3 linked regions of the Lytechinus pictus genome follow. The protein of the gene in region 1 binds, or shares a complex with, the protein of each later gene. Links are inferred from orthologs where the notes say so. Each region holds a gene or a part of one and is shown on either strand. Other genes may lie near its edges.

Region 1 (3,758 bases):
CTACATCGTCACCTGCGGCTATGATCCCCTGCGCGACGACGGAATATTCTACTATCATCGTCTAAAAGATGGTGGTGTCGATGTGGACTGGGTTAACTATGATATTGCCTTTCACGGCTTGGATTGGTATTCTCCACTATATTCAGAAACAGGAAAGCAGGTGCAGGAAGGATTTATCAAATTCATCAGAGTTAACATTTGATTTATTTTCCTGCGTTTTAATCTGCAATAATTACCAGCAGTATCTGGTTGATTATACTTTTTTTCTCAAGTGCAATTAATTTCGTATTGAAATGCAGTCAGTATTCGTCAAACCTAAATCATACACGCGACAGACGAGTCATACCTCTAACTACATATTGAACAAAACTTGACAAATTGTATTTATCCAAATCATCGTTTTTAAATGAATATATTCAAATGCTTGTCTAGGTTTAATTCGTTTGTATTTTGAATTAGATCGTACTAATTGATTCTTAATGCCACTTTATATTGTTAATCTAGCAGAATGTGTTTTTATAAATACGTGAAATGATTTTTTTATGTTTACGATGGTATATTGTATTTCTGTACAGATTAATCATGATTGTGTAGTTGCCCAGGTACTGAAGAGTTTAAATCAAATTGTTACAACAATAGAATGTTTGTTCTTACTTTGTGTTTGAAAATAAACAGATAACGAAAAATTATATAAATTAGAAAACAGAGAGAAAAGCAGACATGGTATGAAAGAGGGGGGGGGGGGGTCGGCGAAATTAATAAATAGTAAGCATAATAAAGAGAGAATGGGAAAGAATTAATGGGTGAAAATGAAACAAACAAAAGATAGAAAGTAGGCTAAAAGAAAGTAGGTAGGTATGTTGATAGACAGGCAGACAACTAGATAGCTAGGCAGAAGGCAATAAAGATAGATATGGGCCGACAAATTGAAAACATATTACTTGTATTGTCTCTTCTATGCACTCATTGTCATTTTCCTTTTGATGGCGACCTCAGCAATCTAGATTACAACGAGCCCCTTATATTCTGCAATACGGAGGGTACTGAATAGAAGAAAGAGAGGGGGAAAGATGGACGGAAAAGGAGAACACGAAAGATTGAAATTGATGGATATTGAAGACCGAAATCCCCAAACTATTGCTTCCTCAATGGGAAATGAATGGGTTGGACTGATGAGAGAGAGAGAGACGAGTGAGGATCAAGGGAAGGAATATGAAAGGATGAATTATTGATCGAGGACAAGATGCGTAATTTCTCTCATCCTTCAATCCATGTCTATGAACAGAAACAACAATTAAATTCATTAAATCGATGGTAGCTCGAAAACCAACTTTTTATCTTGGCAAATCGGTAATATGACCCACGGCCCACGACATGACCCAAGACGAATATTTGACGCGCCGCGTCTTTCTCATACGGCTCTGCGTCGAGAATGTTACTATACTCACGCCAATCTGGGGTATAGCGCCATCTGCGGCGAGGTAGCAGCGATGTATTTATATCTTGCAGAAAGAGTCGGATAATCTTGCTTATTGTAAATTATTCTGTCGCAGTAGCCTTACGAACTAAAGTCCTTTTCTACTTTTATCAAATTACCAAGGTCATTACGATGACGTCCAAGATGGAGCTCGACTTGACTGCTTCTGCACGACCGATTTGGCTGGTCAAGGTAAATAAAAATTAATAATCGAGTCAATTTAAATGGCAGTGTCTCAAAACAGGTTACAGAATGGTACAGGTGGGACTGCAGTGTACTGTAATCTTTTTCAAACAATAAAAACAAGTGCTACAAATTACAATCCAATCAGAGCCAACCGCGTAGCCAGGATTTAATTTTGGAGGGGGCGGTAAATGCATGCGAAGCGTGCCAAAACTTACAAAGCGCGCTCCCTAGGGCCTTAGGAGTTAGGGCATAGGGGGGAGGTTACTGCGCCTGCGGCAGCCCGAACGTCGTGTCGAGGTCCCCGGGGCAAGGGGGGAGGGTGCAGGGAGGTGCAGGGGGGAGTTTTTGATATCTCATCAAATTTGAATCAAAAGAAGATGTCTCTTGCGTCTCTAATAATACCCTTATCAATTTGACTTGCTGTGATTAAAAACAAAACCTGTTTTCCAAAGAAAAGATGAGTGCCCCAAAAATGGGACAAGATTGAGGAATTCCAAATAATTCCTCTTACCGCGCGAAGCGCGAAAGCTAAGACGTTTTATTAAAAGAAATTGAGAACAGAAGTGGTTTAAAATGCCTATCTTAGACTTTAGTCACCAGATTTGATTGTAAAAACTTTAACCACATTATATTTCTTTAACTCACAAAACAGTAGATGCGGGTATATGCAGGGAGGAAATATTTCTTCCCGCGAATGGCTTGAAGCTCTGAATTTTAGAAATTTCTTTGAAACTTTAACCTGCTCTAATTTTGATATTTCTATAAATAATACAAAGAAAAATGTAGCTCAAAATGTGAAAGGGATGATGCAAGCTTGAAGAGGGACTTTTCCTTTCCCATGCACGCGAAGCACGGAAACTTCTGTGAGTTATTTTGGAAGAAACAAATTTGTGTAATTTCGCTCATAATATTAAGCGCTTCCTTTTGTATGATTAAGAAACTTCTGTGATATTCAAAATTTCAAATCAATGGCGCAAAACAGGACATGAGATGGATGTGCAGCGATATAAATTTAGAATAAAGTTTCATCGTACCAACGTTTGCATATAGCACGGCACGAATTCAATGCTCCCCCTTTGAGCAGATACTTTGCCAAAATATTGCTTGCTGAAATGCGGAAGAAATAGCATTTGGGGACTTCGGGATCGAGTGACAGTATAAAAGTTTACCCACTCTGAACAGACGAGGAAAAATTTGTGTCAGCGCAACTGAAAAAAATACTTCTCATACTCCTTACACCCATGTATACTTTATAATTTCTGGCAAAAATGCGATTCCCATGGCCGGGAAGGAGAAAAACGGAATAGAAAAAAAGGTGTGGGAAACAAAGGGCTAAGGCAATTTTGATATTTTTCCCGCGTGGAGCGCAGAAGCAAAATTTTGTGTGAAGAGAGAGAAGAACATCTCGTTTAGGTTTTTATTCTTTTGACAAAAAAGAAAGAAAAAACAATAAAGCTATAGGCTATACCCTTCTTCCCTTTTCTCCCTTTTCCCCTTCTTTTTTTTTCTTTTTGGGGGGCGACCGCCCCCCCTGGCTACGCGCCTGATCAGAGCGCGAACTGAACAATACAGGAACTCATTCTTCCCATCCACTATCATTGAGTGGAATTGCCTGAGTGACGCTGTCATCAACTCAACTCTTGATTTCATTGTCTTTCGCTGGGCGAAAGCACGGAAATCGCACGATTTGCGTGCTGTCGCCAAGCGAAATCAAAATGGTGACGTAAACACGGTGGCAAGTTTTCCCCGTCTTTTCATTACATTTTTCTTGTTTTTTAAATAAATTCTTGTTTAAAAATGAAATCAATAGCGTAGAAATGTCGGAAATGAAGTTGTATCCCATACCGGGTACATGATTTAGGGCTAGATCTAGATCTTTTAGAAGGAAAGTAGAAATCTCGGGGGCGAAAGTTTCAGGTTTTTTGGCAGTACACGGAGATGAATGGGAAGGAATTTCTGGCTCCGTTTAGAGTAAGCATACATTAGTAAATGATTTTTACTCTCTAGGAGCCTCCTGGGGCCCGTTTCTCAACACCGTCATAAGTCTAACTTCTTGACTAAATCGGAGATAGTGAGCTACTTGTCCGCTAACCGT
Region 2 (3,758 bases), on another chromosome or scaffold:
AGTTTATAGATAAAAAATAATGTCTTAAGAAGCAGGCAGTCTTTGATAGAGACTGGTGGATCAGATACAGGAGGAAGAAGTACAACACAAGTGAACAGAGTAGGGTTTGCTGAGTTATAAGAAGAGATCACATCTGGGTAGTCTTTCAGAGATTCATTGAGTAAAGAAATAAACTCAAAGCGAATTGAGTTGGAATGGGGACATGTGGCGATAAAGTGTTCTACTGTTTCGTCTGCACTATGACAGTGCTGGCAGGTTGAGTCAGCGGTCTTAGCAATTTTTTTCAGTCTGGTTTGAAGAAGGTAGGTGGAAGAAAGAAGCTGTGCTCTCACTGTCAAGGCCTTTCTAATCAAGGAGGATGGAGGGTTTCTTGGGTAGAGGTCCTTGACGTCCATAGGCAGATTACCTGCCCAGACTGAAAGACTGGCTTTCAAAGGGATGGTTTGCTCTAGATCCTCATTGACATTTCTCCTCGTTGCTATGTTGATGGTGCGCTTCCAAGTGTTGTATTGAGGTGGATCTGTAATTAGATCTACAAGTGGTGGGAGATGATATTTGGACAGAGTATCAGCAAACATCCGGATGGTTGGAGTTGTTTTCTCTGAGGCATGAAGAAAGATTCTAAACTCGAACCGACAGCGATCAATAGAAAGAATTGACCCAAGGAGGAGGAGTCTGTCCAGTTCTATCTGAGCAGACACTGGAATCAAGTCTGTGAGAAGATACACAATTTCATCGGCTGAAGTGATTGGTACTCCTAGGATCCTTTTGAATAGCTGAAGTTGTGTTTTGTTCAGTTTCTTTAGCATTGCCTGGGTGAACTTCAGAGTAGCACAGCCATAGAGCATACGTGGGATGCAGTAAGACGTCCATAGGCGGGCAGTCACTAAAGGCACAAGACCCTCCGAGTATGCACCAGTTCCTACCATTGCATAGAAGGTGTTCAGACCTCTTGTAGCGATCATATCAGATTGGTCTGATTTCGTACTGGTCTTGAGAATTCCTAGATGGGTGTGTGAATCTGTCCGCAAGATTGCATCATTCCCTACTGTCCAACTATCCTGGTTACTGGCTTTGCGGGGATTGGTGACCACGATAGCACTCTTAGATGGGTTGATACGATAATGCCAACAAGAAGCATATTGGAACGTCACTTCAAGCATTTGTTGTAATTCTGAAGGGGAGTTGCTTAGGAGAGTGATGTCATCAGCCAGTGCAATCACACCTGCGTATTCCGATCGTATGAAGGTGCCGAGCCCAAGTGACTTTAGATGTTTTATGAGGCCATCAACGAATACGGTATATAAGGTGGGAGAGAGGATACCACCCTGCCTGACCCCTTGAGTGATAGGAATGGGATCTGACACATCTCCATCCCAAAGAACATGGCTTTCCATCCTTGAGTGTAGATTTTGTATGAGACGAACAAGGGAGATGCTTATCCCAATGGACTGCAACTTATCAATTAAGCCTTCATGCCACACACAATCGAATGCTTTCTCCGCGTCAAGATAAGCGGTGTATGTCGGAAGTCTCGAAGCAGTATTGAGTTCCAGAATAAGTTCAAGGCACAGAGATGTTAGCATGCATGAGAAACCTTTCCGAAACCCAATACGTACGTACGTACGTAGTATAGTAGTAGTAGTAGTACCAGTAATGCATGTACGTATATAATAGTATGGATATATCTAGGCTATATACCATTGAATTAGTATATAGCTATAGGTCTTGACATCGTTGTGTTGGCTGACCAACGATTGGGTAGTGAGCAGTGTCGGGGTATTCTGCAGTTAAGCCGAAAGACCCTTTCGTGCAATCGGCCCCTCGACTCTGGAGGATCCAGTGGATACGCAGAAAAACCACACACCAAATTAAATATACGGGACTGTATTTAACATGATTACAATAATGCTTAATTCAGCCGCATGTGCATGGGTAAATAAAGCTACAAAGTACGAGATACTATCACGATAAGTAACACAGTTATATCAGTCACATAATTTCATATGGAATACAATTTAATGATGTTCTTACTTCTCGATATCTTCGTCGTCAGCCATTGTTTTGTCGGCCTTTTATAGCTTGCTTGGCAAACGTGAGTGATCTCCGAAGTCCAAACGTATTACGCTAGTATACTTCGGATGAGAAAATATGAGCCAACTGACGCCAGCGCCACCCGTCCGTCCGTCAGAAATAATACAGGGAGATATTAAAGACATTATTTTGTCAGTTAAAATTCAGAAGATCAGGATGAAAATAATGATAATATTGATAATAACCACAACACAAATAATAATTATGTTAACAATGACATAAAGAATTCATATATGATCATCATTATATTATATATATTATATACCAGGTACATTTTTTTTTTGCTTTTGTGCTTATCATATATTAGACGAAGAAGAAGGATATCATGCAAGGAGAAGAAGAGGAAGGAGAAGAAGAAGAAGAAGAGGAGGACGGAGAAGAAGAAGAAGAAGACGGAGCTTGGAGGCGGAGAAGAAGAAGATAGAATAGGTTTATGCATAGTCGCATTTTGTTCAATGATGTATTGTTCTATAAAAAAATATGCCCATATGAGTCAAAAGTGGCCATGAGCACCTGCCTCTATATATAATAAACGTGTATATAATTGCTACGAAATTTGTTTTCCCCTTTGAACATGTTGAAAGTAAGTGTTATGATACGCCTATAAGTTCGCGCTTTGCGCTCGAGGCTGGGCTGAAATGGGACATTTTTGCGTAGCAGTCTGATCTGTCAAGCAGGGTCATGCATGATTATCACGTAAATATAGGCATATAGGCCTACTATAGATACTGAAGTTTATTATTAAGTCTGCCAAAACATGATTTGAATAGATAAAGAAATATCAGACAAAAAAAACATGACATTTTTATCAAAATCAGACAAGGAATAACAAAGTTATGACATTTTAATGATTTTGCATTATTTCGGTCAAACAACAGTTCTGGAAATGTGTCTTCATGAATATTCAATGAACAAACAGATGATGTCATAACCCCACTTGTTGTTTTGTATTTTATTATATGAAATTATGTTTATTCAATTTTCCGCCAAGAACTAAAAAAAGTTGGATCGACAACTGATTTAATGCATTGCTGCATGCAACTTATCATAGGTAGACATATCATTCACACTTGTATGAAGAAATAAATTATTTCCGATTTCATGTAATAACATAAGAAAATTTAGGAACGTGGGGATGTGACACCATCAGCCCACCCAATAAATATTCATGATGACGTGCATAATTGTTATCACAAAATATTGCTAAACTTTAAAATTAAATAACCTCGTTATTAATTGTTATCGGATTTTGATGAAATTTTCAGCATTTTGCTCGGTGAATATCACTATATTTATATTTTCAGCCCGGGTTAACCCTTTAATGATATCCCTGTTCATTATAGTTTTTAGATTTTTAGATATATATATATATAAAATTGATTTTCAATTAATTTGGTGAAACATTGGAGACCTCTGGGTTAAATTGGACTAAGACGTATAAGTATCACCATGGACCTACTGGTATTAGAAATACTGCTCACAAAGTGATTGATAATAAACAAGTGGAACGCCTCTGGCAGTCTCGCCTGCATTACGCGATTTAATATAGCAGCAGTGCTAACTTTGAAAACTACAATAAAATAATCACTCACAAAAATATATAATGACATAATGCCACGTTCATTGACCATAATACCTTGGTCACATTTGTTCTACGGCGGCCG
Region 3 (3,758 bases), on another chromosome or scaffold:
GTGTAGCCTGTTCAGTCATAAGGAAGTTTGCTGTAATTTTCAGGTGGCTCCTAATTTATGGGCAAACTCCCGGAAGAACCCTTCCGTATCATCCGTTCTGGAGGGGCAATATAATAATCTTTGTGGACAAACTGGTGTATTTCACCTGCTGCTACGTGGCCCCAACCTGAGTGAGGGGGATGTTTACAAGTGCTCCATATTTCAACGGATCACGGAACCATGGGGACATCTACCAACATAAAACGATAGGATTAAGATCCACTTTGTCAACGAGTGAAATGTTCGGTAAAATGAATAGGTCTAGTTGACTGGCCGGGTAAGCAGTTGATTACCATGAACTTACTACACCTGAACTTGAATCAGTGAGCATTTCTCTTCTTCCCTTTGAACTGGACATTACATAAACCCTTTCCTACTTGGAATAGATTTTTATACCATACCGGCCCGGTAGTTATTGTGAAATGTTTTAAAGGGCAATCACTTTGTATTACAATCAGAACAAATTGCAAACCCAAATCTGTAACAGATTACCCTTGGAGATTGCATATGTTTCACTACCACTTTACACTTGGTTGTAAAATTATTTCACGTCTTGTAACTGATTTGATACTGCATGCTAGCGTCACAAGAGTGAACGATAAAGATGATTGTATTGTAAACCTTGAAAAATAGACTGATTATTATGTTAATAAACCAGTACTTCAATTTGATACAGTAATTTTATTCTTTTTATTCTGAGTGCCTGACAACATGGTTACTCTTATGTCCCAAGTTTCATGAACTAGATCTATAAACTTTTAAGTTATGATGACAATTCCACAAATAACCCCAACATTATAAAAGTTCGTTGCCCCCTAAATTACCTTTGACCTAGGTCATGTGACCTGAAACTCGCACAGGATTTTCAGGGTTACTTAATTGCTCTTATTTCTAAGTTTCATGAACTAGATCCATAAAATGTCAAAGTTATGATGACAATTCCACAAATACCCCCAACATGGTCAAAGTTTGTTGACCCTAAGTGACCTTTGACCTTGGTCATGTTACCTGAAACTCATGAAGGATCTTCAGTAATACACTATCAACCTTATGTCCAAGTTTCATGAACTAGGTCCATATACTTATAAGTTATGACATTTCAAAAACTTAACCTTGGTTAAGATTTTGATATTGATTTCCCCAACATGGTCGAAGTTCATTGACCCTAAATGACCTTTGTCATGTGACCTGAAACTCAGGCAGGATGTTCAGTAATACTTGATTACCCGTATGTTTTAATGTATGAACTTAACTTTGGTCATATTGGTTAAGAAATTCCATGTTGACGACGCCGCCGTCGTCGGAAAAGCGGCGCCTATCGTCTCGCTCTGCAATGCAGGCGAGACAAAAATGACATCAATCATTCAATGTCGTATAAATGTCGGAAATGAAGTTTTACTTGTAGTTGTATCCCATCATGCCCATTCATGCCCATTTACATGATTTAGGCTTAGGGTGAAGAATAATTAAAGAGCTGTGACTCTGGGAGAAGAGTTCTTTTCCTTTTGTGACAACCTGCTGACCTGTGTTACAAGAAATGAACAAGATGCGACTCCCGGCTCCCCTATCAGTAGAGGCGCACGGCCAATATTGGAGACTGTCTCCAATGTGGGAGATTATCTCCAATATCAGAGACTTTTGTAAAGAATTTGGGTATCCAAATTCAGAGACAGTCTCCAGTTTTGGAGACCAATTTCCTTTGTTTACATTTGCTGCAAAAGGATTACCTTGGCGGCAAATAAAAATGTGATAAGCAGATTCCTCATGAAAAATTGCCCCTTTTTACCATCTACTTTAAAAATTCACCGTCTACTTTTGTTTTGATAAGGATTTTTGTTGTCAATCACACACAAAACAAATGGGCTTCTGACCTCAGTGAGACAAAATTTTGGGTGGAAAAAATCATGCTTTTGTTGGTGTTGTTTCTTTTGTCCTTTTGCAAAGCAAGTCTCCAATGTGGGAGATTGTCTCCCCTATTGGAGAGAGTCTCCCATATTGGCCGTGCGCCTCTACTGCCTATATCAGGCGACTGAGTCAATGTGAAATTCATACACAGCTTCACAAAAACGTGTTTAGCCCATGTAGCATGCAGGCGCAATAATCGCACACGCCTTTATTGCAATGGATTCTGCGCGTTTCTATCCGCATTCCAAGCGTATAACACGGTTCTCTATGTAAGGGACTAGGCCTAAAGTAAAGTCCACTTTCGCACTTCCCGAAAAGTGACGGAAAAGTGCTGATTTTTAAAGCCTACCGACAATTTTCTCATACCTAAGTAATATCATAGTATTCTTGAAAAGTAATGGGACATACGTACCACCGTCTTTACGATCCCGTTTTCCCATTGCATTCAGAAAATTGTTGATATATTTCAGAATGTGGATGTCTAACCGCCCCTAACCGCCTGCGCCTGCCTACGGCCAAAACTGTCGCCAGTATTGCGCAAGAGTCGAGTTGGTACAACTTCAAGCGAGATACCGCGCTGCTGAACCAGTGAGTAATAACAATGAGAAAACTGCATTATCTGGAATTTAGAATATCAGATTTAAAGTACATTTTTAAGTCATAATCAATAATAGTTGTGGCATGCCATATTTTTTGCATAAGATCAAGCAGACATTTGCAAGATAAAGTCGAAAATGAAAACGTGGGCGAATCAGATTGCATGCTGAGCCTGAGCACGCGGTCTGTCCTGCAGCTGCATCGGCGCTTACCACTTGAATCCCCCGGGCCGACCCGCAAGCTAGCTGCCCTGGGCTGGGCCCGTCTCCCATCCCAGCAAGTTCCCACACGCGCACATGTGTGTGTGAGGATATGGATGGATGGCCAATGGCTATGCCTATGTCAACTGGCCTGCACAGGTTGGTTGGTGTTGGAGTTAGGTTGGCGCTCTTCAATCTAGTACTAGTTAGTAGTAGATTATGCGCCAGGTCTTTTCCGAGTTGCTTAATTCCCGCTTCAAAATGAATGTCCTTGGCGTTGGACTAGTCTGAACTGTCATATATCGATATAGCGAGATACAATATAATTATGATTACCTCCAGTCATTGACATTGTGCGATATTGTACGTCATAGTGTAACAGTAAATTTTGCTGGGTTTATTTCTCTAATCTGTACTCTTGCATTTGGCTTTCCATACTTTATTGTTTACATTCAACTTGTTTATTTCCATTCCAACTCATCTCATCCTTCTTTCCATCCTCACAATCCACATACATTGTCATGCCTCATGGGGCCTGTTGCATGACAAGATGAGCGATACGTAGGAACGTCCTAGGACCATTCTTCCGAGATAGGAAGATTGGTGACAAATCAGCGCTTTCCGTTTCACGAAGGCAATTTTGTCTTTCAAGTCCGCGACATCGTTTGATATCGATAGTATCGGAAAAATATTTAGTCTTCATCGTCACCTGAACCTTTTATTTCGGAATGACGACTTTTCATAAAATCATATATTTCAATAAAAGGGGATCAAATAATATTTTATTTATTACTGATTGTAGAATTGATGTACATGGAGCTTAATTTATGAGGTAAAAAGAGAAAAAAATTCAAGATTCACAAACATAACTGGATAAGATCGAAATTATCATTATTTCCCTTATTCAGAACACGGTGTCCTTTTAGAGACACCTTTCATTGATATTTCAACGAAAGAGACCCTTGTCTGACATAAAATTGATTTAACTAAGTAATTTCGACATTTGATTAGTTCAGT

The links.
Region 2: general transcription factor IIF subunit 2-like (region 1) and DNA-directed RNA polymerases I, II, and III subunit RPABC2-like share a complex: the UniProt entries of both Homo sapiens proteins name them as parts of the TBP-based Pol II pre-initiation complex. The link is inferred for Lytechinus pictus from reciprocal best matches to the Homo sapiens genes GTF2F2 and POLR2F.
Region 3: general transcription factor IIF subunit 2-like (region 1) and general transcription and DNA repair factor IIH helicase subunit XPB-like share a complex: the UniProt entries of both Homo sapiens proteins name them as parts of the TBP-based Pol II pre-initiation complex. The link is inferred for Lytechinus pictus from reciprocal best matches to the Homo sapiens genes GTF2F2 and ERCC3.

Annotation. Positions count from the first base shown.
Region 1 is NC_087260.1:10,631,739-10,635,496, forward strand, and holds the start of general transcription factor IIF subunit 2-like, read left to right. Parts: upstream 1-1,484; 5' UTR 1,485-1,609; coding exon 1,610-1,669; intron 1,670-3,758. Other genes in the region: esterase LipI-like, read left to right, coding at 1-202. UniProt on the Homo sapiens protein: TFIIF is a general transcription initiation factor that binds to RNA polymerase II and helps to recruit it to the initiation complex in collaboration with TFIIB.
Region 2 is NC_087248.1:11,114,058-11,117,815, forward strand, and holds the start of DNA-directed RNA polymerases I, II, and III subunit RPABC2-like, read right to left. Parts: upstream 2,161-3,758; 5' UTR 2,061-2,160; coding exon 2,035-2,060; intron 1-2,034. UniProt on the Homo sapiens protein: DNA-dependent RNA polymerase catalyzes the transcription of DNA into RNA using the four ribonucleoside triphosphates as substrates.
Region 3 is NC_087257.1:8,964,008-8,967,765, reverse strand, and holds the start of general transcription and DNA repair factor IIH helicase subunit XPB-like, read right to left. Parts: upstream 2,471-3,758; 5' UTR 2,385-2,470; coding exon 2,357-2,384; intron 1-2,356. UniProt on the Homo sapiens protein: ATP-dependent 3'-5' DNA helicase/translocase. Binds dsDNA rather than ssDNA, unzipping it in a translocase rather than classical helicase activity. Component of the general transcription and DNA repair factor IIH (TFIIH) core complex.